Linked DNA regions of Ovis aries. The protein of the gene in region 3 interacts with the protein of the main gene of each other region in a pairwise test. Links are inferred from orthologs where the notes say so. Each region holds a gene or a part of one and is shown on either strand. Other genes may lie near its edges.

Region 1 (3,500 bases), on a different chromosome or scaffold from region 3:
GTTAGAATGGATAAACAAGAAGATCCTACTATATAGCATAGGTAACTATGTTCACTATCCTGTGATAAACCATAATAGAAAAGAATGTAAATAAGAATGTATATATTGTGTAACTGAGTCACTTTGCTGTATAGCAGAGATTTTCACAACATTGTAAGCCAACTATACTTCAATAAAAGAATTTTAAAAAGAGAAAACATAAAATGTTAGACTGAATACCATTACATGAACAAGCATCTATAAGCAAGTAAATACCCAATTTAAAAAAAAAAACAAACCTATTTCTATAAGCAGGGAAGTCTCCATTCTTTATCCTTGTATGAACATTAATAAGTGCCTTACATGAAATTTTATTGCAATAATGATGTAGGAGGGCTTCCTGGGTGGTCCAGTGGTTACGAATACACCTTCCATTGCAGGTAATGAGGGTTTGCTCCCTGGTCTGGGAAGTAACATTCTGCATGCAGTGTGGCAACTAAGCCCACACACCGCAACTAGAGAGCCCGAGTGCCATATTGAAGATCCTGTGTTGCCACCATTAAGACCCAACACAGCCAGATAAATAGATTTAATAAAATAATGAAAACCTTAAATAACGATGTAAGCAACCATATTCTGATCATCCAGCCTATGAGATGGGGAAGGTGGCATGCTTTTATGTTAAGTGAGACATGGTGAAAGTAAGGCATGGTTGAGGAGAGAGGGTGTGGAGAATGAGGACAAACGTGGAAGCAAGAGTTCTAACCCTGAGTACTACTCTGCGGGTGTAAATCTTGCTGTATTCTTATACATAGTTCACGTAAGTGTGGAGGTTCTTACACCATCTTTACTGATAACCTTATAATATTCACTAATTTTGTGAACAAATAATTATTTAAGACACCTTTTGTGCTAGTTAACAAAACTCTTGGTAGGTATTTTTGAGAGTATTGATAGTAGGTTTTAGACTTATGGACTTCTGTTGAGGGCTCTGTAGGTGTCAACTGGCTCCTCTTGAAGAGTAAGATAGATATGGTTATACTGGTAGATGGAAGTATTTGGAAGTCAATTACAGTCAATATTATATGTATATTTCCATTTCTACTTTGTGAGAAGGAACGTGGTTTTGAAAATTTCACCGATTTGGCTGCCATTGAAAGCACCTCTGAGGACCTCACAAAGACTCATCGCCGAAAACCTTCCAGCACACCATCCATAGCAGTGTCCCGGGCCTCCCTCTCCTCAGGTATTTCCAACCTGACTGCTCTGTTGTGAAAATGACTAAATCAGGTGAAAGTGACTGCCTTGTGGGGCCTTAAATGTATGTTTCATGCCTTTGAAAATAATCATCCACTCTTTGACCCATGGTATTCTGCCCACTCTGTAAGAACTGTTGAAACATGGACCCATGTGATAACTTGAGCCCCTTGCAAAATCTGTGAATTTTGAATTTGATAAGAGTATGCAGTCATGGGGCTTCCCAGATAGTGCAATGGTGAAGAATCTACTTGCCAAGGCAGGAGACACGGGTTCGATCCCTAGAGGAGGAAATGGCAATCCACTCCAGTAATCTTGCCTGGGAAATCCCCTGGACACAGGAACCTGGTGGGCTACAGTCCATGGGGTCTTAAAGAGCCAGACATGACTGAGTGACAGAGCTGAGAAGTCAGTAGAGGAGTTCAGGAAATATGATTGTTTCATTTAATACAAAAGATAAAGACACTTGCCCAGAATTCAAGGAAATGGTAGTTCCATTGACACATTGGTCAGAAGTGCCCTGTATCTAGACAGATGAATCATTATTCCATGGTTTAAATAAGGCCTTCTTTGCAAGCAGCATTAAAGGATTATTAATAACCCCTTTCATTTGTATGATCCCTTCAAAAATATTGTTTCACTTTAGCATCACAACCCCTGTGAAACAAATATTATTTTATGGTATAATTTTATTACCTTTGAATAAGGAAACTCTTCAGAGACATATGTTATAATTAGGAACTTTATGTCCCCTGTGTAGATTTGAAATCATGACAAGACCCCCAGAAGGAAGAAATCAGTTATCTAATGCTAATCCTAACATAAAGCCTAAGGCTGGATTCTCTGTGCTGAGTTGGAGGTGTCTCTCCAAGACAAGTTGCTCCCAAAGAGTTGGCTAAATGTGCATGGCTATTACTGCATTTTGTTTAGGACTAGAAAATTGGTTCTCTAGTTCAATGAATAATTTTAAACTAGCCTAGAAGCCAACCTCATGGAGCGTATTTCTACTACTCGTGCTCATACTTAGTTGTTCAGTTGTGTCCGACTCTTGGCAACCTCATGAGCTCTAGCTGGCCAGGCTCGTCTGTCCATGGGATTTCCCAGGCAAGAATATTGGAGTGGGTTGCTATTTCCTCCTCCAGAGGATCTTCTCGACCCAGGGACTGAACCCATGTCTCCTGTGTCTCCTGCATTGGCAGGCGGCTTCTTTACTGCTGAGCCATTTGAGAAGCCCCTTCATTTCTCCTCTTAATAGTACTCAGTAGCTCCTGTGGATTGAGTACATACTCTGTGTCTGGTGCTATGCTAAGCAGTTCTGTGCTATTTCATTTATCATTTCAGTCTTAATCAGTTGCTCTCTTCAGTCTTTCTCATTTATAAGCAAGTATTCTCTCTCAGCAGGGTTTTGACATAGAAATCTTTTATGGAAATAAACTGTTGATAAGCTATCCACAGCATTACTGAGTTTTGCATTTTTCTTTATATGTTTAAAAGCAAGAAATTCTGCTGATGAAAGAATGTTCTGGTGTGCAAAGAAATAGAAGTTCCTTTCAATTTCCCTATAGCTACTCCATTTTTGTGTGAAAAGAACTTGTATCATTTCATTGCATTTTATGTCAAATATAAAAGCACAATGTATGTGTGCATGCCCAGTCATGTCTGACTCTCTGCGATCCCATGGGCTGTAGCCCACTAGGCTCCTCTCCATGGAATAGACAATAGATTCTCTAATAAATAAGGAATACTTAATGTTATATTTTTTTCTAAGCTTAATGGCCCATTCTTTGAGAGTTTGCCAAGGTTTTTGAGCACAGCAAAATTCTTAAATAGCTTACAAATTGATCATGTTATAGTAGTAGAACATTTGCCTTCCTATGCTCAAAGGAGAAATGTACAGATCAGTGTTGGTAAGTCAGTCCAAGAAAATTTCAAAATACTGTTAATAAATGGTAGCATAGCATAAACAGTATGAACTTTCTGACTATTGTTTTCATGACACTATCTATGCCTTATCCCTAGAAAGAATTGGAATAACAATGAAACATTTGCAATGAGAAGTGAACCCTTCTAACAAAACAAGATGATTCCCTTCTTCCCCTTTCCTTCCTGCAGACCGGAGTCGATCTGAGTTAGATTTGAGTGGGTCATTTACAGAAGACTTAGAGGATACTATAAGCATAAGGAGCAAATCTGTCCCTGGGGCTTTGGACAAAGACTTGGTAAGTTGGATATGGAAGAGTATCTAATGGTCATGAAGAAAGGGC
Region 2 (4,033 bases), on a different chromosome or scaffold from region 3:
AAGCACTGATCTAGACCAGTGGTTTCAAATTGCACACTGAGAATCACCTGGGGAGCTTTAAAAATTCCAACGTTTCCGTTACACCCCATTCCTATTGAATCTCCGAGAGTGAAACAAAAACAAAACCTCCAAGGGGTCCCAATGTACAGCCAATTTTGGGAACGTGTGATCTAGAGGCAGAGTCTAGAAGGAAACAAGGGTTTGTCGGGCTCAGGTGGCTGAGGAACAATTATGACGGAGGGGGGGTGGGAACATACACTGCGCTTGGAATTCTGCACATTGCACACCCAGCACCCAGGCAGAAAACATAATTACTGTAGGAAAGCCTGACTGATGCCCGCTCCCTGAACTAAGCGCTCAGCCAGCCAAGCCAGTGCTGGTGGCCGCTCACCTAAGCGAGCGCTCCCAGATTCCGACCGCTTGCCCCGCCCCCGTCCGCGCGGTCCCCGCGAAAGACTTGGGGCGCAGGCGCAGGCGCATTCGCCGCCGCGGCTGGGACGGCCGCCGCTGACGTCAGGACGCCTCGCGGGTTCTAGGCCCCCGCCCGGGCTCCCGCGTTCCGCGCGGGCTGTGCGGAGGCGGGGCGTTGGGCCAGCGGAGCTATCCCGTCAGACCGCGCCAGTTTGAATGAAAGCTCCTCAAGATGGCGGCGGCCGGGGCCGAGGCGCCAGGAGGTGAGGGCTGGAGAGCGGCGCCCCGCACTGTCCCCTGTCCGCCGGGCAAACTCCCGAAGCCCGGGAAGCCGGGCCGGAACGCGCGGGCCGGCCGCAGAGCGACGCGGCGAGACATCGCCTTCCGCGCGACTGACACTGCGGCCCCGAGACGCGCGCCGCGGGCTCCTCCCTGCCCCCGGCCCCTGACCCTCCTCGCGGCTCGGCCCGCCCGCTGCCCGCAGTCGCTTCCCGCGCCCGGCCCTTGCGAGGCTCGGCCCGCGCCCTCCGCTGCCGTCCCACGGACCCGGCGGCCCAGTCCCCGCCGCCGGCCGGCCCAGAAACCCCACCCCTCCCGACCGCTGTTTGGGGGCACCCGGGTGGCGACGGCGGATCCTTGCGCGCCTCGAGGTCCGTGGACACGAGGGGGGCGCGACTCCTTTGTGATGGTTTGAGCGGGACGTTTGCAGTCGGGCTAGCTTTGGAACTGGGAGCGGGAGGATCCCGGTGGTGTGGGTGTGACCTCAGTGTCGGAGGAGCAGAGAGAGGTCGGGGCTAAGAGAGGTGTGAAGGCTAAGAAAATAGATGAGTGAGGATGTACCCCGATTGGGACGCACGGGGAGGACCGGTTCGCCTTTGGAGGAAGTCCCACTAAGTGGGTACTGGAGGCGTTAGCCCCTGGCTCACGGGAATCGTCATCCCCGCCGGGAGGGAACTTGCGTTCTGTTTCTGTGGTCGCCAAAGAATTCGGTGCTGAACGTGTGTTTGTGCGTGCGCTCCAAGACTGGAACTTTCAATGCCTTCTGAAACGGAAAGGTGTTTTCCAGCACTGCGCCTCTCCGCATGGATTATGGACTCATTATCGCCCAACTTTTCCTCCGCTAGGGGTTAGTGTGAACTAGTGTCAAGTTTTTGTGGTGGTCATGAAATGTTTATTCTTACCAATGAATTCTCTTTCTACTTTATTAGAGATAGTCAGATTGGTTACCAGGGGGGTTGCGGTGTCGTGTGTTCCAAGTTTTACTCTCAAAACTAGCATTTCCGTGGAGGGTTGCGTCTTGAATTCTTCTGTTACTTGCACTAAGTGAAATTGGTAGGAACAGCAGACAGATACACCTTCGGTAGAAAGTCCAGGTGATGAGCATAACGAGGTTAACTCTACACAAAACATCCTGAGGCTTTTTAAATGGAAGGGATGGATATAAGGGGTGGTTTGTATTTCCACTACTCCCCTACCCCCAAAACACCCCTCAAAATTTTTAGGGGAAAATACATTTCACTTTCTTGATCTAGAACTGAGTTCTTTTTTGGGGGGTGGAGCGGCTGGAAATCATATTTCAGGTTTTCTGACCATGAGACCCCTGGGTGAGTTTGGGAGGGCGAGGAACGAGTATACTAGGAACAGCTCTTCTCTCTTTCTGGAAAATTACCTCCAAACCCAAAAGGTTATCACAACTACCTTGGAGAGCTGCCAAGTAAAGCGTGCGTTTACTGACGGGTTTTGTTTGGTTTACTCCCAGTTTACTCCAGCCCTCACATTTTTTTCAGTGAAGCTGAAACCCAGAAAGATGGAAACCTCCCTACAGTCATGTAGCTAGGGGGCCTCGCGGGGCCTGGAACAGAGGACCCTTGATCCTCTCTGGTGCTTCTCGTGGCACTAGCCGGAAAGCCAAGTTTATTCTATGTTTCTAAATGTCAGTTTGTGTTAACCTATTTTAAAAAAATATTTATTTACTTAATTTGGCTGTGCCAGGTCTTAGTTGGAGGTACACCATATCTTTTATCTTAGATGCTGCATATGGGATCTAGTTCCCTGACCAGGACTGAATCTGAGCCCCTGTATTGGGAGCTTGGTGTCTTAGCTGCTGTTATCACCACCCTGTGTTAACCTATTTTTAATGCAGTGTGGTGGCATACTCTTAACAGGAATTTGAGGGTAGACTCTTCCACAGCACTGTTACTGGCTTCTAGAAGGTTGATGATGAGTGTATCTAATTTTCTTCAGGCTTGGTGTAAATTGAATACTCTGTATTGTCATCCTTGGCTTTGAAAACAATACAGGAAGTGAGTATTACAAAACTCAGTATACTCTTCATTATTTTATTGTAGCTCTTGGGTTAATTTACCTTGCTAAACTACATTGCTGCATGAGCAGAATTGAAGTTAAAATTTCATACAACCTTCCCAAATAGGACAAGTGGATCATATGATGTCACCAGTATATAACTATAGAATTAGATTACAGTTCTTATTGCTGGACAAAAAGAAAGGGAAAATTACTTTTTAACAATGTAAGATTATTTTAAAATATATTTAAGATGTATCTTTAATAATTTTGTGCTTGATGTCTACATTTGACTAAAACAGCAATTCTATATAGAATACAATGAAAAAGTTAAAAATACTATCTCAGCCTATCTGTGTGTAATCTTATGAAAGCTTATAGACATGAAACATTTTGTTCAGGTGGCCTAGTGGAAATTGATATAGTAGGGCAGAGACGCGTGAGAAAATCCAGGAAGAAATATTTACCAAAATAGTTCTTCAGTGGTTAAATTTTCTTAGACATGTAAATGGTTTCTTGAATTTTTAGTCTTATAAAATTGCCAGTTGAAGGGTGGGGATATAGAAGTCAAGATTTTTTGTTTTATTTTATTTTAATGGAGTAGCTATTTCATTAGTAAAGAATTCTATTTTCTTATTGTAGCTTGGTGTGTGCCTTGCCTAGTTTCACTTGATACTCTTCAGGAATTATGTAGAAAAGAAAAGCTCACATGTAAATCGATTGGAATCACCAAAAGGAATCTAAACAATTATGAGGTGGAATACTTGTGTGACTACAAGGTAGTAAAGGTAAGGCAAATATCTAGACCCTTAAAAAAGACCTAATCAGACCTCCCTTTAGTATTTCATGTTTCTGTAACATAAAAATAACCCTAAAAGTAAGCAAAGCTCTTCTTAATGGTTACAATTCTTAGCCATGATAAATTTATATGTCCTGTCATCTGTTTGCCAACTAACATTGAAAGGATTTTGAAGCATAAAATGTTCTTACATTCAAATATTTCAAGGTGCCTATGTCATTCTACATCCAACTCTTGATTATCTCCATGTGGATTACCAGAGCAAATGTTTTAGCTCAGATTGGCTTCTCCCGTCATTCGTTTTGTTCCTGAATCATATTTCCCCACTATCAGTCACCTGAGATGAACCTAGAAATTCAAGCCAATTTTAATGTTACCAAATCTCAAGAAGCATCACCATTTGTATTTCCTGCCGTCCTGTCAAACTCCAGATAGCAATGAGGTTTTGTTGTGCAGTAGAACAGCCTGGAGTTCAGTCATTTCTAGCCTTTGTCTAGTACCTTGTGACTCCAGAAAAGT
Region 3 (3,500 bases):
TCTGCTTATTTAACTTATATGCAGAGTACATAATGTGAAATACTGGGCTGGATGAAGCGTAAGCTGGAATCAAGATTGCCAGGAGAAATATCAAGAACCTCAGATATGCAGGTGACACCACTGTTACGGCATAAAGTGAAGAGGAGCTAAAGAGTCTCTTGATGAAAGTGAAAGAGGAGAGTGAAAAAGTTGGCTTAAAACTCAACATTTAGAAAACTAAGATCATGGCATCTGATCCCATCACTTCATGGGAAATAGATGGGGGAATAGTGGCAGACTTTTGGGGGGGCCTCCAAAATCACTGCAGATGGTGACTGAAGCCATGAAATTAAAAGAGGCTTGCTCCTTGGAAGAAAAGTTATGACCAACCTAGATAGCATATTCAAAAGCAGAGACTTTACTTTGGCAGCAAAGGCCCATCTAGTCAACACTGGTTTTTCCAGTAGTCATGTATAGATGTGAGAGTTGGACCATAAGGAAAGCTGAGTGCCAAAGAATTGATGCTTTTGAACTGTGGTATTGGAGAAGACTAAGATCAGTCTTGGGTGTTCATTGGAAGGACTGATGCTGAAGCTGAAACTCCAAAACTTTGGCCACCTGATGTGAAGAACTGAGTCACTGGAAAAGATCCTGATGCTGGGAATGATTGAGGGCAGGAGGAGAAGCAGACAACAGAGGATGAGATGGTTGCATGGCATCACCGACTCAAAGGACATGAGTTTGGGTAAACTTTGGGAATTGGGGATGGACAGGGATGCCTGTGGTGTGGCAGTCCATGGGGTCACAAAGAGTCAGACACGACTGAGCAACTGAACTGATGTTCTTCTTTCTCTTAAAAGAGTTATTAGGACTTCATGGCAGTCAAGTGGTTGAGACTGCCTCCCAGTGCGTAGGGTGTGTGTTCAATCCGTGATCAGAGAGCTAAGATCCTATGTGCCTCTTGGCCAAAAACCAAAGCATAAACAGAAGCAATATTGAAACAAATTCAATAAAGACTTAAAAATGGTCCACATTAAAAAAAAATGTTTAAAAAGTTATCAGGGAACAGTATTTGTATAATTTGGTCATTCAAAATGTGTGACTTTTTCTATAGAGCATTTTTTTTAATGAGTCATAGTAGGTTTGGAGAAGGAAATGGCAATCCACTCCAGTGTTCTTGCCTGGAGAATCTCAGGGACAGAGGAGCCTAGTGGGCTGCCATCTGTGGGGTCGCACAGAGTTGGACATGACTGAAGCAACTTAGCAGCAGCAGTAGGTTTCCACTTATATACCCACACAGAGCTTTTGGCTCCCAAAACAGATTCTAGCAACAGTTTTAGTTCTGTTTCTTTAATCTTTGTGACCAGAAGACAAAAATAAGGGGAAAAAATGGTCAGGGTGGGGAGAGTTACAGAAAGGATGAAACAGAAAAAAGTCAGCAGTCAAAAGGAAAATTTTGTTTGGTATTGTGAGCCATAATCCTACGAAAGAGTCATCAGAACAATTTGGTTTTTGTCGTGATAGGTTTTTTAAAATTGAAGTATAGTTGATTTACAGTATTAACTTCAGGTGTGTAACAGTGAATCAATAGTTTTACAGATTTTATTCCATTAAAAGTTATTATAAGATAATAGTTATAATTCTCTGGCTATACAGTATATCCTTGTTGCTTATCTATTTTGGTATATTTTTTAATGTCTGAGGGGAATTTGAATGTGAGTGTGATAGCTGTTCAGTCATGCCTGACTCTTTGCAACCCCATGGACTGCAAAGTAGCCTACCAGGCTCCTCTGTCCATGGAATTCTCTAGGCAAGAACACTGGAGTGGGTTGCCATTTCCTTCTCCATTGATATGAAGAGTAATACTTTTATTTGAACTTTTAAAAATTTTCTAGGAGAGAGGGAGGGGAAAAATTCTCCAAATTATTAGTATTAACATTATTATAATATTTACTTGCTATTCACTAATAAAATAGAGTAGATACTTTTCAAGCATTTAAATAAATTGAAAATTTACTCAAATCACCTTTTTACAAATATACTTACGTTATATAAGATATTTAAGGTCTTTTAAAAAGAATGCAAAGTATCTCACACACTTGATTTTAAAATTGATCATTGTACTTAAGAACCTGTTATTGATGTTAATATCATGAATTTAAATGTCATTTTAAAAATATCTGTTTCTGTTCTTACTGTATTTTATGTTCTTTTCTTCCCCATTGTTTTTATTTATAGTTAGATTTTATTCTTTTTTTAATTTGGAGAGAGTTCCCTTCTCAGGGTAAATACATATTTCAAATCAGGGATACAAAACTTAGGAGTGTCTTTCAGAATATTTTTACTATAATCAGTCACCTAGATGGACAGACTCCTTTTCATAGTTAGACCTTGTCCATTATACAAGGAACTACCTAAGTTATTGGCTCTTCCAGTCAGATATGTTTGATTTTGTTGTGACCCTGGTCATTGTTAAGGTGACAGTTAAATAAAAAACCCTAAATAAAAAGTTCAGTTAAATAAGAAACTTAAGGTCTGTTTAATTCACTGAAATTATTAGGCTTTTAATTTACTCATTAAGACCTATATATGTGTTCTGGAATTATGTAATTCCAGATATAATGTAAGTATCCGTGCTTATTTGCATCCTTTTTAGTCTAATTTTGTTAGAAATAAATCTGTTTTAATTTTAATCATTATGTGTGTATAAAAATTCATATTAAAGATTTTGGAGAAAAAGTCTGTTGTTCTGAAAATAAAGGAAATTATTTATAAGAGGGCATTTCTTCACCCTATATCTTAAAGTTGATCCCTCTGTCTCCTTGTAATTGTAGCGGGAGGAAGCAGAATGGGAAAACATGAATGTGCTGCTGATGATGCATGGCTTAAAGCCTTTATCTCTAGTCAAAAGAACAGATATGAAAGGTAATCAAATTATATTCTTGCTCCTTAAGATAAAAGGCTTTTTTTGTTAAAAATTTTCAATATTAATTTTTTTCTTATCTTCATTTTTACTATGTGTATTACATTTCAAAAAAATGTAGATCTCATCATTTTTGACAAACAGTCATCACAGACCATGAGGGAGAATTTAAAAACAATGATGGAGGAAACATCACGTCAACAGAACATGATCCAGGAGCTCATAGAAACTAATAAACAGCTTAAGTAAGAAAATGGAAAAAAATCTGTTTTGAATTGTATGTGAACAAATTATATGCATTTAAAAAAATAACTCGCTTAAAAATAATCTTGGAATTTAATTTTCCATTGACTAAATATTAAGTAAAAAATATTTTTAGCAGGTAAATCATTTGGTAATAGTTTCGATATATAATGATACCCTATGTTTCCTCTGTTGGTTTGTGTTATAGAAATTTTAAGAATGCAAAAAAATTTTAGAAAGTTGTTATGTTGTTAGATGAATATGTTGGTTGATATGATTTGTTTCTATTACTAAGAGAAGGAATTGTGTGTCTGTTACTAGAAATGAACTTCAGCAACAGCAAAGCCGAGCAGCA
Region 4 (3,500 bases), on a different chromosome or scaffold from region 3:
CTCAGGCACCACTGCAAGTCCAGCCGCTGGGGAAACTTAGTTGTTGGCATTACTAATTAGCAAGTCCTGTTTTGCCAGCTCTCTCCCTGTGAGCTTGGCCCTGTGATTTCCATAGGACAGGCCAGCAGGATTCTATTGACCTAAAGTACCAGTCAGGGGTCATAGTTTCATTCACCAGGACTCACTTTGGTGCCCCACCCCTCCCACTGCACCTGGCCTGCCCAGGAGTCTCCACTGGGGACAGGCCTGCCCTCCCAGCAAGGAGTCTTGCTGTCCGGAAGGGAGGGGAGCTCACTCCCCCAGCCTGGCATGGGCTCCTAACCCAACAGCTTTGGGACCTTCAGAGACCCAAAGCTTCTGCTCACCCACCCAGAGCCCAGCTGACTGCTATGGGGCACTGTGCCTCGGGCCGGGGGAAGGGGAATGGGGCAATATGGCGGCCCTGGGGCCATCTCTGCTGGTCCACAGGCTAGTGGGCCCAAGGACCCAGCTGGCCACGGGAAGACAGCTTCACTGCAGGACCGTCCATCTTTTAAATATGGCTCTTTCTTTCTCCCCTTCTCCAGCACTAGCGCGCGTGCGCTCTCTCTCTCTTTCTCTCCCCTCCTCTCCCTCCCCTCCCTGTCCCCTTCATCCCAAGTGTAGCCTGTGTAGTGCTGGCCCTGGGTGTGGCCTGGCAGTGTTAGGGCTGAGTGGGGGTTTGCCGCACTGTCCGGCAAGCTTCGGGCAGCCGAGCACTGTATGCCTGGTGGAGTGTGTTCACGTGTGCGTGCCCGGAAAGGCAGCAAACAGCTGCGCCCGAGGGCTGTGGCTCTTTCCCTCCCTCCTTCCCTTCCTTCTTCCCTTGTCAGTTCTCCGACCTCCCTCCGTTCCCTGTCCCTCATCCATCCAGCTGAAGGGCTCGCTCACTCTCTTCTCCTGTGCTGAAACGGTGCGTGGGGCACTGCTGCCCAGGCCTCACTGTGCTCTGCTTTTCCCCGCAGCACTCCCTCAACATCCTGGGCCAGAAGGTATCCATGCACTACAGCGACCCCAAGCCCAAGATCAATGAGGACTGGCTGTGTAATAAGGTACAGGGGCAGTGGGCAGCAAGTGCCATGGATTGAGACAGCCGCGGCAGGGGTGGCAACATGTCTGTCTCCCTGGGGCCTCTGAGTGGTGCGGGCATGGAGGAACTGGCCCAGCTCCGGCAGCACCGCTCATTGCCTCCCCCACGACTCCCCTCCTCGTCCACCCAGCCAGCTGCCAATTCATACTGAGCTTTCACTCAGTGCCAGGCTCTGCCCTCATGCAGCACGATATTGCCTGAGGCCCCAATAGATGTCACATAGACGTTTATGTGAGTGACTAGTGACGGTGAAGCATAACATGGTGTATGAAAAGTGGGCATCAGGGCCAGACTGGCTGAAATTAGACTCCCTCAAAATCCCCCTTGAGGTCAGAGTATTAACCTCTCTTTGCCTCACTCTCCCCATCTCGAAAACACAAATACTAAATACCCAGAGGTGGTCAGAAGGATTGAAATGCAGTGATGAGAGGGTAGCACTTGGAACAGCACCTGTCAGCTGCTGTCCTAAATAATGTGTAGGGTGTTCTGAGAGCTTGTGTCAGATGACCCAACCCCTGACAGAGCCAGGTCCACAGAGACTGACTGTACAAGCTGTAGGTCTTTGCGCTCATGTTCCCTGGGAGGAGGCTGAGGCTCAGAGAGATGGAACCTCGAGCTGCGTCTTATTCCTAATCATAGGCTATGGGTGCCACCGTGGGTTCGGGTCCCCCCTTAGGCCAACCTCACCTTCTGCAGCCGGCTGACAGCCCTGAGACCTAAGTCCTGAGAGCTTGCAGGGGCCCCCAAGCCTCTCCCCAAGAAGAACTCTGCCCAGTAAAGTGGGGGAGGGGGGCCTCTTTGTTTGAAAATGAAAAGAGTAATACCAGAAGGCAGATGTCCAGCCTCTCTGGAGAGAGTGACAGGAGGACTCACTCCATCTCTCCTGTATTTTCAGATGCTCCTTAAAACTAGGGCAGTCTGTTCTTTCCTCTCCTTTATCTACCACATCCTATTGCTCTCTGGTCTTGTCACGTCCATCACACAAACACCTTCCATTGCCATTCTCACTGTGCAGGCTGGTCCTCACCCCTCCTCCAGACAGTCACCATGGGCCCCTCTCTGGTTTTCTGGCCTCTTGCCTGTCTCCCACTCCCTCACCTTTGGCATTCCTCACACCCACTTCTGACCATGTCCCTCCAACTCTGCCAAAAACCTGCACATATCTGAACGTGAGTGTGACGCTCCTCTGGGATTTAATGTCACCTTCTCTAGCCTTGGCTTTTGCCTTTCTCTCCACCCTCCTACACCAGCTACACAAAATGTCTTGTGTCCTCTGCTAGCAAGTGCTTCCCAGCAAAACCAAACCTCTGGGCCTCCCAGGTGAAACAGCCATGCGGACTATACCCAGCTGAGTAAGCTGGGCCTCAAGGCCCACTCCTCTCCTGGAGTCCCTGGTGGTGACCATTTCCAGACTGACCTGCTGCACCTCTGTGCTACATCCGCTCCCTACTGTTAGGCCGCATGCTGCGGAGAGCCTGGCATGGGAACAGTGCTCAGGACTTGACCGCGGATCAGAGACCGAAATGTGGTGAAAACTGGGGGTCTCCAGAGGCTGCAATGCCCAAGGCAGATTTATTTCTCAAGAGTGGCAAGATCCAACCTCGAGATGAAGGGGTGAGGCCTGGCAGGAGAGGGGCTACTGACTTTTTAAGGATAGAAAAGTGATGAAGGTTTCTGAGAAGGAAAGTACGTTCTGGGAAGAGGAACCTACTAAAAGGACTTTGGAGGCGGAAACGTCTCTGAGCTGGTCCCTTGGAGGAGACAGCAGTTGGTAACAGAGGTAGGGGGTGGGTTACGGACTCCTGAGTTGAGGGGTGGGCGCTGAGGAGAAATTTGAAACCATGTAAAGAGTCGTGTGTCTGAGAATGACAGCCATTCCCCAAAGCCCTTTGCTCCCCCCTCCCCTGACCCTGGGACCTTCCTGGGGCATGGTGGGATCCCTGGAAGATTTCTGGATCCACATTTGGAGGGTGCAATGGAAAGCCCCCACCCCCCACCCCCTGCTGCCTCTGACAGCCTGGCCTGTGCCTCACAGTGTGGCGTCCAGAACTTCAAACGCCGTGAGAAGTGCTTCAAATGTGGGGTGCCCAAGTCAGGTACGGCCTTCCTACCTCCCTCTTCCTTGGGACATTGTGGGGAGAGGGGCGAAGGGTGAAGGTCACAGCTCTGGAAGGAGGGTGACCTGCCTGGGAGCGCCTTCCAGTTTGTCACCAGTCTCTCTCCTGATGCCCCTAGCAGAGGCGGAGCAGAAGCTGCCCCTGGGCGCGAGGTTGGATCAGCAGACGCTGCCGCTGGGGGGTCGGGAGCTAAGCCAGGGCCTGCTGCCCCTGCCACAGCCCTACCAGGCCCAGGGAGTGCTGGCCTCCCAGGCCCTGTCACAGGGCTCGGAGCC
Region 5 (3,500 bases), on a different chromosome or scaffold from region 3:
GGGAGAAGCACTAGGTCAAGGGGAGTGGGGTACTGCTGAGAGACCAGGGGGTTCCTGCCCTGAGATGGGGCCACTGAGGATCCAGTGGGGCTCCGATCACCTACTCTTTGAGGCTCAGCCATATCACCCCCAACTTTGCCAATGAGGGATCCTTGATCAGTGAACCAAGAGATACCTTCTCCCTGCTGGACTTCAAGTTCACTTCTTTTTTTTTTTTCTCACAAGGTAGGAAGCAGAAGGCTCCGACTCCAGTGGCACGTGTCAGTGAGAGGAGTCTTCCAAACACAATCCCTTCATTTTCTACTTGGGAGCAGATATTTCCCCTGGGGGGTGTCTCGGTGTCTTGGCCTTAGCTCTGGGCTGCATGCAAGATTCTGCTCTTCCTAGGAGGGAGGGCACAAAAGGCACTGCCCTGTGGTGGGGAGGCTCCGAACCTTCCTTTTATTCTGAGATAATAGACAGGGCGAAAACCCACTGACACGACTTCCTTTCTCACTTAGAGCTCCCAGACATGGGCTTCCTCTCAATTCTAACAGAAATAGCCCCAAGAACCGCACAGGAAAAACGCACGTGACATCATGGGCAAGACAGAGATATAGCTCAGCCTTCCCCCACCCCTGCTCCTTGAAACTGCTGTAAAATCCCCCCTTAAATGATGAAGACTCTTCTTCACAGTGACTTCTGTTCCCGGTCATGGTTTTCAAGTCCATCTTTTTCTTGAATGGAGGAAGTTTCTTTACCTGGCGCATAGCCAAGGGTCCTGGCCCAGCAAGCCAGTGTGCTTTCCCATGGGGCCCTGCACATTTACTGAAGGTTCCCACCAGAGGCTCAGAGTCTTGTGTGCCTCTCCCCTCCTGTCCTGTCTCTGAGTACTGCCGCCACAACCCTCAGCCTCTCTCGTGTGCTTGGCAGAAGGATGCCTGGTCCCACGTGTGATGTGGTCAGAGGACCCTTCTCACGGCCAGGACTTGCAGCTTGTAGAGCGACAGATTTCTGACAAGTGCACCAAGTGGGTTTTTGTAAGTGGGATCGTGCTTCTCCGGTGGAATCTGGATCTTTCTGGGATGTGTTCTTTCCCTTGCAGTTTGTTGTTGTTTTCAGTCACTAAGTTGTGTCCGACTCTTTGCAACCTCATGGACTGCAGCACGCCAGGCTCGTTTGTCCTTCACTATCTTCCAGAGTTTGCTCAAACTCATATCCATTGAGAGGGTGATGCCATCCAATCATCTCATCCTCTGTTGTTCCCTCCCCCTCCTGCCCTCAATCTTCCCCAACATCAGAGTCTTTTCCAGTTCGCATCAGGTGGCCAAAGTATTGGAGCTTCAGCTTCAGCATCAGTCCTTCCAGTGAATATTCAGGGTTCACTTCCTTTCGGATTGACTGGTTTGATCTCTTTGCTGTCCAAGGGACTCTCAAGAGTCTTCCCTAGCACCACAGTTCAAAAGCATCAATTCTTCATTTGCAATACATTCCTTTAGTTCCACTGTCCCATTTTCTAAACTATTGGCTTACAAGCAGCACAGAGAATGCTGGCAAGCTTGTCCCATACTGGCTATAGTACAGAGAAGAAAACTGAACCCAGGGTCCAGAGCGTGATCTTGCCCAAAGCCACAGCCAACAGTCACAGCTTCTCACAGGCAGAGAGGGTGCAGGGGTGGGCACGGGGAAGGCAGGGCTGTGCACGCAGACGTCCAGCCGCTCAGAAGCCAGTGCTGGCCCCTCTTCCTCGGGGATGGCTGGGAGGATAGGCGAGCCTGGCGTTGTCTGCAGACCCAGGCTCCGTGCCCAGTCCCTCACTTCCCGACTGTGCAACCTCAAGTCCCTCGGCCCTCCTGAGCCTCAGGCATGTCATGGACAAAATGGCGGCAGATGATTCTCACTCCATTCACGTCAGGGGGAATCCCAGCTGAAGACAGAAATGAAATGACTTTGTAAAGCTAAGGGCTGGAGGACAAACAGGAAGTCCTTAGTGAGGGCTCATGAGTGGGGATGGCGTGAGTCGATGGTCAGCTGCCCAGAGGCCCGTCTCCCCTCAGGCGCCAGGAGCGACAGCGCTTTGTTGAGTACCAGGCAGAGCTGCAAGGCATCCAGCACCGGGTGCAGGCCCGGCCCTACCTGTTCCAGCAGGCCATGCAGGTGAGGCTGGCACGTGGGCAAGCGTGTGGGCTCCCTGGAGAGCAGAGCTTCTCACCGGCCGAGAGGGTAGGGAGATGAGGCGGGAGGGGCCCCCTCAGTTTGGACCCTTGAAAAGCCCTGGGACCCCCTGGAATCAGAGTCTCACGGTGTCCTCGGGGCAGCCCAGGTGAGAGAGGGGGTCCCTCTGCTTTCTCCTCAGGCCAACGCCCGGCTCAACGTGACCCGGCGCTTCTCCCAGGTGCTGTCGGCGCTGGGACTGGATGAGGAGCAGCTGCTGGCCGAGGCGGGCAAAGGGGACACGGAGGGCGCCCCCAGGAAGCACAGGTGAGGCCCAGCTGTGGGGAGATAGGGCACGGCCACCAGTACCCTGCCCCGCGGGGTCTCAGCTGCCGCCTGCCCCGGGGAAAGGCTAAGGGGCCTCCCCCGCAGCCACATGGGTCCACCCTGAATTTAGACTTCCATCCTGCCCTGTCCACTCCCTGGCCGGGAGGACTCAGTCTAGCTTTCGCAGTCAGCAGGGCCGTCCCCGGGCCCTGTCCTCCATGTCACCTGAGGAAGGCAGGGCCAAGGTTATTTCCCCACAGAACGCTTACACTTCAGAACAACCTGGTGCAGAGCAGAGGTTATCAGGCTTCGGGGGCGGGGGTAGTCTCCCACTCAGGGTCTCAGAGTGTAAGAGCCACATTTGAAACCACTGACATTGGTGATGAAGGCCTTGCCCCTCCTACAGCCCAGGTCTCCTTGGTTATGGGGGTGGGGAGTTGCAGAGCCCAGTGGTCTCTACTTGTGTCTTCATCTTTAAGGGGCCACAGGTCAGTGGGGGCGAGAATGGAGCCCTCTTCTCAGAGCCCCCCAAAGATGGAACACACTGGCAGCCAGGCTGACCAGCACTTCGCCCCAAATCCAGACCAAGAGTTGAGTCCCTGAGATAAAAATTAAATGCTTTGTGGAAAACACGGTGTGGGATTTCTGGCGGTGGTGGGAAGTGGCTGTGGGTTGGGAGCAGGCCGTGGCAGGTGGGTATGCAGCACGCTTGGCTTGTGCTCACATCCCCCAGGAACCCTGGCTGTTGCGACGGCCCCCGCCCAGCACACACGGCTGTGTCTCTGCCCAGAGGAGCGAGTGGGGCATCTCCCAAGAGCAACAGCTGCAACTCCTACCAATGCTGGGTCCTGGAAATTCAAGAGTGAACAGGACAGAATGCCTTCCGCCTTTGGGAACGCCCAGTCCTGTGGGGGAGGGGGCGGGCCTTTAAAAGGGCGCATAATCACACCCTAACAGATGGGCTGGCAGATCGAGCAACTGGCAAGTGGGGGTGTCAGGAGGAATTGTGTGAACTGAGCTTTTAACTACAAGTTAACAGT
Region 6 (4,296 bases), on a different chromosome or scaffold from region 3:
CTGGGACTACAACCAGGCGGAGGAAAGCTCCTGGGGCAGATTAGGAGAGAGATCACTGACTGTGGAGGAAAGAAACTGGGCTTGGAGTCAGATAGACCTATGTTCAACCCCCAGTTCCATCACTACGTGCCCTTGGACCAGTTACATAACCTCTCTGAACCTGTTTCCTCGCCTATCAAATTGCATTAATACTAGTATCCACCTAGTGTGACTGTTGCAAGGATTAGCTGAGATAATGAGGAGAACTGCATTGTGCCTAGCACAAAGTAGGGGCTCTGTAAACATTGGTTCCCTTCACCTCTTTTCAGACCCCGTGTGTCCCAAGGGCCTATGAAACTGGGTCCAGAGAAACAATAAGTAGAGTTCTGTCTTTAGATGACAGGGCTCTACCCTCAGCACCTGCTCTTCTTGTCTGTGTGACCTTGGGTAAGTGACCACACCTCACTGAGCCTCATTATAATGGGACTCATATCTCAAAAAAGATAATCATTTAGGGACCGTGGCGGTCCAGTGGTTAAGACTCCACACTTTCACTCTAGGGGACATGGATTCCATCTCGGGTTGGAGGGCTAAAGATCCCACATGCTATGTGGCACAGCCAGAAAAAAAAAAAAGATAATCGTGCAAAGAACTAAATGGCAGCTGCTGTTAATTCTTTGGCTTATCACCTTCATCAGCATTTCTATTAAGAAAATGTGCCATCTCTTGCTGCGCCTGAACATAAAAATATGCTCAATGAACATAAAAATAATTACAAGGAGAAAGTGATCCAAAAGGGAAGTGTGTTAGACTGTGAGCTAACTGCAGCAAAGGGCTCTCAAGCTTTTGGAGTCTGGGTGGGGTTGCCAGTCCCACATCTATTTCCCTGGAGTAAAGGGGACCTGGAACTCCCAGGGAAGAGTTTGGAACAATGGCACCTGCCCGAGGTGGCGTGCTTCACTCTGCGCTGGGAACTTTCGCAGATGTGGCCTCCCTGAGCCCCTCGTGGGCTGGCAGCTCCAACTGGGTGGGCTGCGAGGGCCGACTGCACAGAGATCTAGCTGTCTTCTTACTCGGTTCCAGTCTCTGCACCTGACCGGACGTTCTAAGAGGGCAGAAGCACTCCACACACAGGGCAGCAATCGGGGGTGACGCTGCACACCACTTGAGAACGAGCTGACTTTAAGTTACTTCCCCTCTCTGAGCCTCCACGGAAGGCCTGTCGCCGGGCATCTTGCTGGGGGTAAGGCGGGGCGCACCACTGCAGCCAAGGCAATGCTTCTACCCAGTAGGGTGCCAAGGATGGCAAGCGGCATGGCCACTAGCGGCAGTGCAGGGCCAGAGAGACAGTTGTTCATCACCCTGTTGTTCAGCTGCGGGGAGTGGGGAACGTAGGGGCGGGGGCAGAGATCCCGCCTGTTATACAAGAAGAGAGGGACGGGAGGAACGCAGGGCGGCCCCTTTAAAAGGCGGGGTCCGGCGAGCGGAACGGCCGAGCGTCGCTGCGGAGCACTTCCGGGAGGCTGGCCGTCCTACAACCGGAAGTGTCTTTGGTGCGCGGAATCCTCGCCGCCGAAGCGTTCCTGCTATGGGCCGCAACAAGAAGAAGAAGCGAGATGGCGACGACAGGCGGCAGCGGCTCATCCTGAGCTTCGACGAGGAGAAGCGGCGGTGAGTGCCAAGGCTGAGCGGATCCCGTTCGGGCCGCCGGGCAAGGCCGAGGCCGGGTCTGTCCGCATACGCTCACGCGGAAGGCCCTTCCGGTCCCGCCCTCTCGGCGTAGTGCGGAGCCCTGGCGGGTGGAAGCCGCGGCTCTGGGCCCCCCAGCCCGGAGGGATGGAATCGTCCGCCCCGCCCTCGCGTCGCTTTTCTGCTCCCCAGGCCGCCTTGTGATGCTGTGTGCTCGGCCCGAGAGCGGGCTTCACCCTCCCCAACCTGGCGGTCTCGCTTGCAGTTGGTGGTGTTCAGTCTCTCAGTCCTGTCGGACTCTGCGATCCCATGGACTCACAGTAGACTCAGCTGTTTTGGATGAGTAATTAGCGAATGAAACAAAGGCCTCCGGACCTTTGAGTCGGTCCTCTAAGCCTTAGCGTCTGGTCTAGCCCCACTCAGAGTGCCACCTGGACCTATGGTAGTGGGTCAGCGAAAAGCCTGGTGTTGGGCCCCATAACAGATAGGAATGGTGCGGCCGGATCTAAGGAAGATGAGAGGGCCTGAGATAAGATGGAGCGTGGGGGAAGGAAGTGCTGGGGCATCATCAGGAAACTCAGGGAGGCATCAACAGGACCTACAGACGAGTCGAGGGGCAGAGTCCTGGGGAAATGGGTGTTGATCCAATGGACAGTTTGTGGAGGTCTGGGTGAGGGTGGCCTTGAAAGCCCCACTTGAAGCGGCCTAATTCACTGAGGAATAGAGTTTGCCAGTGAAGAAGGGACCCTCACCTGCTCTAGGTTCAAAGGCTCTCAGCCTATGCCCACCACCTGCCCCTGTTGCTGGCAACTAAGAGCCCAGGAGAGTGTCGAGTGGGGAGAGAGGCAGCACCTCCCTCTCTTTCCCTAACCTTACACTCTCTGACCCCCGTGGGCAAGTCATCTTACCTTTCTCTGCCTCATTGTCTCCCATCTGTGAATTGGGAATGGGTATCTGATTGAGGACAGGAGGAAAAGGGGGTGACAGAGGATGAGATGGTTGGGTAACATCATCGACTCAATGGATCTGAATGTGAGCAGACTCCAGGAGATAGTGAAGGACAGGGCATGCTGCAGTCCATGGGGTCACAAAGAGTCAGACGTGAATGAGCAACTGAACAACAGTAACCACCCAGTGTGCATGTTGTTAAGATTACATGAGTTAATACGTTTACATTTTTGGAATGGTGCTTAGCACATGGTGAGTGCAGTATTAGCTTCCCTGCTGCGCCCCCCCCCCCCACCCCCGTCCCCTTCCTGGAGTGAGCCCTTCTTTCCTTGTGTCCTGATTGTCTCTCTTTGCTATAGGGAGTACCTGACAGGCTTCCACAAGAGGAAGGTGGAGCGGAAGAAGGCAGCCATTGAGGAGATCAAGCAGCGGCTGAAGGAGGAACAGAAGAAGCTCCGGGAAGAGGTGCAGAGGGAGAGGGCAGGAAAGTGTCTCTGACTCCCAGGGGCCCTGCAGCCTCGCTGAGGGGCTGAGGGGAGGGGGCAGGCAGGCCTGGGGTGCAGTTTATGCAGATAGAGATGCCGTGGTCCAGGTGTGGGGAAGGTTCAGGGTAAGATCCCTTGATCTTTCCCTCCAAGCCATGGTCTTACTCATCCTGGAGGGGAGCAGTGTCTGGGTTGAGAGGCCATGTTCATCATATTGCCTTCCCTTCGGTTTCAGCGCCACCAGGAATACTTGAAGATGCTGGCAGAGAGAGAGGAGGCTCTGGGTAAGTCCAGTCCTTGACCTGACCTGGAGAATAGCCAGTCGGTTGAGTTTATTTATCCCTTGGTGGGTGGACAGGAAGGGGTACAAGACTGCAGAGAAGCTGACATCCCTAGCTTCAGGGATCTTGGTGGTGCCCTAGGAGCCAGGGGTGTCCTCAGGTACCTCTAAATGTCAGTCAATCAGAGACCAGGAGGAGACCCAGACCTCTTGGCAAACGGATCCTGAGCAGAAAGTCCAGTTTCTGAGGCCTGGAGGGACTGAGGGTGGCAGCAGCTCCTGGGGTCCAGGTGGGGACCAGGTGGTCTGGGGTATCCCTGGAGCATGAAGGGAGGAGTTGGGTCATTTCCAGCACTTGTCTGCTGGCCAGACTCTGGAGCCAGTGACTTCCGGGTGCCACTCTATAGAGTAGAGGGGGCCGTTACATTCCAGGGATGGAGTCAGGGGTGGGGTGTGTGCCGGAGCCTGCTTGCTTGTGTCCTGGGGCTGAGGCCTGGTCCTGTACCCACCCTGCACAGAGGAGGCTGATGAGCTAGACCGGCTGGTGACAGCAAAGACGGAGTCGGTGCAGTACGACCACCCCAACCACACAGTCACCGTGACCACCATCAGCGACCTGGACCTCTCAGGGGCCCGGCTGCTCGGCCTGCCCACGCCTGAGGTGGGGCTCCCTCCTAGCCTGGGGGAAGAAGGGACACAGGGTCAGCCTGGCTTATCAAGCGAGTCAGTAAGCGCTGGTCCATGTCAAGGGGCTGGTCCATGTCAAGGATTCCAGTACAAGGGGCTCTTTCCTCTGGGTAACCCTCCAGGGCCTGGACCAAAGCCCTGAACCCTGGGGCTTCAGAGGTCAGCTCTACCACGAGCAGCTGTGGAAGCTTGGGCAGGTTTCTCTGCCTCGCCTGCTTCTTCCTTTGA
Region 7 (4,057 bases), on a different chromosome or scaffold from region 3:
CAAGCAATCCATACTCATACGGAATAAAATCAGTAATTAATAAATATACACTTGTCATAGTTCATAACGATATCTCATGTGCGACGCATGACTGTAACAGCAGTGTGCCCCACACAGCCGGCCTGAGTCCCGAGTCCGGTGTCTTCACCCTGGGGCCCCAAGGTGAGGCCTCTGCCTGGACCTGAAAACAGGTGGCAGGGTTGGGGGCGGGGCGGGGCGGGGCGGGGTGGGGGAAGGGCGCGGCGGGCTCGCGCACGCGCACCGCGAAGCCCGGGCCGGCCGGCCCCACCCACCGCCGCCCCGGAAGTCCCGCCTCTTGGGGGGCGGGGCCATGGCCAGGAGGAGAAACCCGGGCCCGCCGCGCGGCCTGCTTCCGCGGGCCCGAGCGGCGGAAGCGGAAATGCGTCACAGGGGCGGGCGGCGGCGGCGGCCGAGGCGGCGGCAGCGGGTCGCGTCGGGGGCGCCTCCGGCGGACGGTGGCGGCGCCGGGCGGGGAGGCCGGGCCTGCCGGCGTCGTCGGGGGCCCGCGGGAGCGCTGGGGCCAGGGCGGCGGCGGCCTGGTACGTGGACGGGGCCCCGCCCGCCGGGCGCCGGGGACCCCGGGGCGTCGGGGGGCCGGGGAGGGCGGCCTCGCGGGGCGGGCGGCCGGGGCGCGGCTCTCCTGGGCCTGCGGGCTTCGGGGGTCGAGAGCCTTCGAGGGGCCTGGGGGCGGGGGGTCTGGGGGTGACGGAGAACCGGCGGCCGGGGGCTGCGGGGGTCTCTTGGGCCTGCGGACTTGGGAGCGGGGGGCCTGGGGACTTGGGGGCGCGGCTTTGGGGGTCGAAAGCCTTTGAGGGCCTGAGGGTGACGGAGTGCCGCGGGCTGGGGTCTGCAGCGGTCTCTCGGGGCGACCGGGGCACGGGGTCTCGTGGGACTGCTGACTTGGGGGCAGGGGCTTCGGGGGTCGAGAGCCTTTGAGGGGCTTGGGGATGACCGGGGGCTGGGGGATGCGGGGGTCTCCCGGGACGGCCGGGGCACGGGTGTCCTGGACCTGCAGACTTGGGAGCAGGGGTCTGGGGGACTTGGGGGTGTGGGCTTTGGGGGTCGAAAGCCTTTGAGGGGCTTGGGGTGACGGACAGCTGGGGGCTGCGGGGGTCTCCCCGGGGTGCGGAGAGTGGGGGGCGTCTTCTGGGAGAGGATTTGGGAGAGGGGACAACGGCGATTGAGCAGAGGAGGGGAGGTCTCCAGGGAGCTGCGGGGTTGGGGCGGGGGGTGGACAGGGTCCCTGCAGGCGAATCGGGGTCCACCAGGGTAAGAGGTAAGCAGGCTGTACTGGGACGGGGAGTGAAGTTAGGGGTTACTGGAGGTTGGAGGGGGTAACCGGGGGCCACAGAGGCGGCTGGGGAGAGAGAAGGCGGGAGTTGGGCCAGTGGGGTGAGCATTTGGAGGGGTGGAGGCGATGGGGATCGTGAGGGGCTGCCAGGGGTGTGTTGACAGGGGTGCAGCGAAGGGGCTGGGGGTCATCCCCAGGGTGCAGGGGCAGCTGGGCGACCAGGGAATATGGGAATCCCCAGGGTTCCTAGTAGGCAGTGGGCTTCCGGAGTCTCTGACTCAAGTTCTCTCTGAGGTCTGGAGGTTTTCTGCGGGTGGAGGGGGGCTGTCGCCACTCTCAGCCCAGGCTGAGCCCCCTCCCTGGTGCCCCAGACCTGGGCCAGGTGGCTCTTCCCTCCAGCTGGGACCCCTCCACCCCCGTCCCTGCAGCTTCTCCTGGGTCTGGGTGTGTGTGTGTGCTGAGCTGTTCAGTCGTGGCTCTCTGTGACCCTGTGGACTATAGCCCACCAGGCTCCTCTGTCCGTGGCTTTCTCCAGGCAAGAATACTGGAGTGGGTTGCCATGCCCTCCTCCAGGGGATCTTCCCGCCCCAGGGATTGAACCCAGGCCTGGTCAGAAGCTCTCAGAGCCATCTGGTGCGCGGGCACACAGCCCAAGGCCCCCTCCATTACTGTTTGCTGTCCGTGGGTCAGGTCTGGCCCTGCTTTGCGGAAGTAGGCACCTGTCTGACCGGTAGGGAGAAGCTGGTTGAGGGGGAGGAGAGCACAGTCAGCTCCCCGTCCGCGGCTTCCCAGAGGCCCCGCGGCTTTGATGGTTTTATCTGGACACAGAGAAAATGCTTCTGCCTGCGGTAGAGATACTGAAGTCAACGGTCTTCAACCATTCTCTCAGCCTGAAAGTTCCTTCCTGTTTCCGCGGGCTTCCTCCGGCACAGACCTTCCCAGGTGCTTGTGTGGGTCGTCCCTTCCCCAGTGAGACGTCTGCAGCCTCCATGGAGGTGGCCTGTCCCCCACATCCCGAGGGCAGGGACCCTGCCCATCTGGGCTCCTGCCAGCCCAGCCCTGGTGGAGATGCCTCTGAGTATTGGGGGCAGCTCAGTGCCCATGGAGGCTTGGGGCAAGCAAGTGTTCCTAAAAGTTTTGAAAACCCAAATTTTTTTCCCCTGCATTTGTGTAATCTGATTAAAAGGGCCCACATGTCAGGGGCTGGGGTTTCCCTGGTGGTTCAGACAGTAAAGCATCTGCCTGCAATGCAGGACACCCAGGTTTGATCCCTGGGTGGGAAAGACCCCCCCTCCTGGAGAAGGGAAGGGCAACCCACTCCAGTATTCTTGCCTGGAGAATTTCAGGAGCAGGGGAGCCTGGTCGGCTACCGTCCGCGGGGTCACAGAGAGTCTGACACGACTGAGCGACTAACCCTGAGGGGCCGAGGGGCCTTCCCTGACGTAGCGACTAGTGTGTCGGGCACGCGGAGGGCAGACGGGCCTCCGTGCCCCGGGCCGCGTGCTGGCCAGCCTGGGGGCGGGGCAGCGGGCCGGCCGTGAACGCGCGGCGTGCGCGTCTTGTGTTTCAGGCCCAAGGTCCCGGCTATGGCTGCGGCCACCATCGTGCACGACACGTCTGAGGCGGTGGAGCTGTGCCCGCTGCACGGCCTGTACCTGAAGCCCATCACGAAGATGACCATCAGCGTGGCGCTGCCGCAGCTGAAGCAGCCGGGCAAGTCCATCTCCAACTGGGAGGTGATGGAGCGGCTCAAGGGCATGGTGCAGCACCACCAGTTCTCCACGCTGCGCATCTCCAAGAGCACCATGGACTTCATCCGCTTCGAGGGCGAGGTGGAGAACAAGAGCCTCGTCAAGTCCTTCCTGGCCTGCCTGGACGGCAAGACCATCAAGCTGAGCGGCTTCTCCGACATCCTCAAGGTGCGCGCCGCGGAGTTCAAGGTCGACTTCCCCACGCGCCACGACTGGGACTCCTTCTTCCGCGACGCCAAGGACATGAACGAGACGCTGCCGGGCGAGCGGCCGGACACCATCCACCTGGAGGGGCTGCCCTGCAAGTGGTTCTCGCTGAAGGAGTCGGGCTCGGAGAAGCCGAGCGAGGAGGTGCTGGTGCGCGTGTTCGAGCGCTTCGGCGAGATCCGCAACGTGGACATCCCCATGCTGGACCCCTACCGCGAGGAGATGACGGGCCGCAACTTCCACACCTTCAGCTTCGGCGGCCACCTCAACTTCGAGGCCTACGTGCAGTACCGCGAGTACGCCGGCTTCATCCAGGCCATGAGCGCGCTGCGCGGCATGAAGCTCATGTTCAAGGGCGAGGACGGCAAGGCTGTGGCCTGCAACATCAAGGTGCGGGGGGTGGGGGGGAGGCGGGGCGGCGGGCTGCGCCCCGAAGGGCCTCCGACATGGGGAGGGCTGCCTGGGCCCCCCACGCGGTGAGCGCACTCTGTGTCTCAGGAAACGTGGGGAGAAGTGGAACACGCTCGCAGCCGCCCTTGAAATGAGGGCGCTGTCCATCATCGCCGCGGACTCTGGCTCGTGCTGGCTCCCCACGTCAGGCTGGCGGAGGAGCCGGGGCCCTCGGGGCGCGAGCTGTGCCCGGGCGCTGGGTGGTGAAGGCAGCTGGCTGCGGAGGGCGGGGGGCGCCCACCGCAGGAGGGGGAAGGAGTCAAGCTCTTGCATGCAGGGCTGGCCTCCGGAGGCCCTGGTGTTTCCGGCAGAAGGGGCCGTCCTGGAAGGGGTGGGG

Evidence for each region.
Region 1: the proteins of CEP70 (region 3) and SYTL5 interact in binary tests that used the Homo sapiens proteins (3 or more experiments, as listed by UniProt). The two-hybrid records come from large-scale screens. The link is inferred for Ovis aries from reciprocal best matches to the Homo sapiens genes CEP70 and SYTL5.
Region 2: the proteins of CEP70 (region 3) and SUV39H2 interact in a two-hybrid assay, tested with the Homo sapiens proteins (2 studies listed by BioGRID and IntAct). The link is inferred for Ovis aries from reciprocal best matches to the Homo sapiens genes CEP70 and SUV39H2.
Region 4: the proteins of CEP70 (region 3) and RBM10 interact in binary tests that used the Homo sapiens proteins (3 or more experiments, as listed by UniProt). The two-hybrid records come from large-scale screens. The link is inferred for Ovis aries from reciprocal best matches to the Homo sapiens genes CEP70 and RBM10.
Region 5: the proteins of CEP70 (region 3) and TSGA10IP interact in binary tests that used the Homo sapiens proteins (3 or more experiments, as listed by UniProt). The two-hybrid records come from large-scale screens. The link is inferred for Ovis aries from reciprocal best matches to the Homo sapiens genes CEP70 and TSGA10IP.
Region 6: the proteins of CEP70 (region 3) and NOL12 interact in binary tests that used the Homo sapiens proteins (3 or more experiments, as listed by UniProt). The two-hybrid records come from large-scale screens. The link is inferred for Ovis aries from reciprocal best matches to the Homo sapiens genes CEP70 and NOL12.
Region 7: the proteins of CEP70 (region 3) and A-kinase anchor protein 17A interact in binary tests that used the Homo sapiens proteins (3 or more experiments, as listed by UniProt). The two-hybrid records come from large-scale screens. The link is inferred for Ovis aries from reciprocal best matches to the Homo sapiens genes CEP70 and AKAP17A.

What each region holds. Positions count from the first base shown.
Region 1 is NC_056080.1:37,494,805-37,498,304, forward strand, and holds part of SYTL5 (synaptotagmin-like protein 5), read left to right. Parts: intron 1-1,095; coding exon 1,096-1,225; intron 1,226-3,348; coding exon 3,349-3,455; intron 3,456-3,500. UniProt on the Homo sapiens protein: May act as Rab effector protein and play a role in vesicle trafficking. Binds phospholipids.
Region 2 is NC_056066.1:28,871,417-28,875,449, forward strand, and holds the start of SUV39H2 (histone-lysine N-methyltransferase SUV39H2), read left to right. Parts: upstream 1-1,233; 5' UTR 1,234-1,446; coding exon 1,447-1,537; intron 1,538-3,357; coding exon 3,358-3,503; intron 3,504-4,033. UniProt on the Homo sapiens protein: Histone methyltransferase that specifically trimethylates 'Lys-9' of histone H3 using monomethylated H3 'Lys-9' as substrate.
Region 3 is NC_056054.1:251,191,455-251,194,954, forward strand, and holds part of CEP70 (centrosomal protein of 70 kDa), read left to right. Parts: intron 1-2,813; coding exon 2,814-2,904; intron 2,905-3,023; coding exon 3,024-3,147; exon of another isoform or gene 3,148-3,179; intron 3,180-3,466; coding exon 3,467-3,500.
Region 4 is NC_056080.1:57,639,396-57,642,895, reverse strand, and holds part of RBM10 (RNA-binding protein 10), read left to right. Parts: intron 1-983; coding exon 984-1,070; intron 1,071-3,143; coding exon 3,144-3,204; intron 3,205-3,343; coding exon 3,344-3,500. UniProt on the Homo sapiens protein: Binds to ssRNA containing the consensus sequence 5'-AGGUAA-3'. May be involved in post-transcriptional processing, most probably in mRNA splicing. Binds to RNA homopolymers, with a preference for poly(G) and poly(U) and little for poly(A).
Region 5 is NC_056074.1:40,492,642-40,496,141, forward strand, and holds part of TSGA10IP (testis-specific protein 10-interacting protein), read left to right. Parts: intron 1-2,036; coding exon 2,037-2,136; intron 2,137-2,335; coding exon 2,336-2,460; intron 2,461-2,939; coding exon of another isoform or gene 2,940-3,063; exon of another isoform or gene 3,064-3,090; intron 3,091-3,193; coding exon 3,194-3,326; 3' UTR 3,327-3,500.
Region 6 is NC_056056.1:215,348,992-215,353,287, forward strand, and holds the start of NOL12 (nucleolar protein 12), read left to right. Parts: upstream 1-1,496; 5' UTR 1,497-1,567; coding exon 1,568-1,650; intron 1,651-1,755; exon of another isoform or gene 1,756-2,851; coding exon of another isoform or gene 2,852-2,868; intron 2,869-2,975; coding exon 2,976-3,081; intron 3,082-3,336; coding exon 3,337-3,385; intron 3,386-3,899; coding exon 3,900-4,042; intron 4,043-4,296. UniProt on the Homo sapiens protein: Multifunctional RNA binding protein that plays a role in RNA metabolism and DNA maintenance. Participates in the resolution of DNA stress and the maintenance of genome integrity by localizing to sites of DNA insults.
Region 7 is NC_082741.1:868,717-872,773, forward strand, and holds the start of A-kinase anchor protein 17A, read left to right. Parts: upstream 1-1,257; 5' UTR 1,258-2,120; coding exon 2,121-2,254; intron 2,255-2,882; coding exon 2,883-3,660; intron 3,661-4,057. UniProt on the Homo sapiens protein: Splice factor regulating alternative splice site selection for certain mRNA precursors. Mediates regulation of pre-mRNA splicing in a PKA-dependent manner.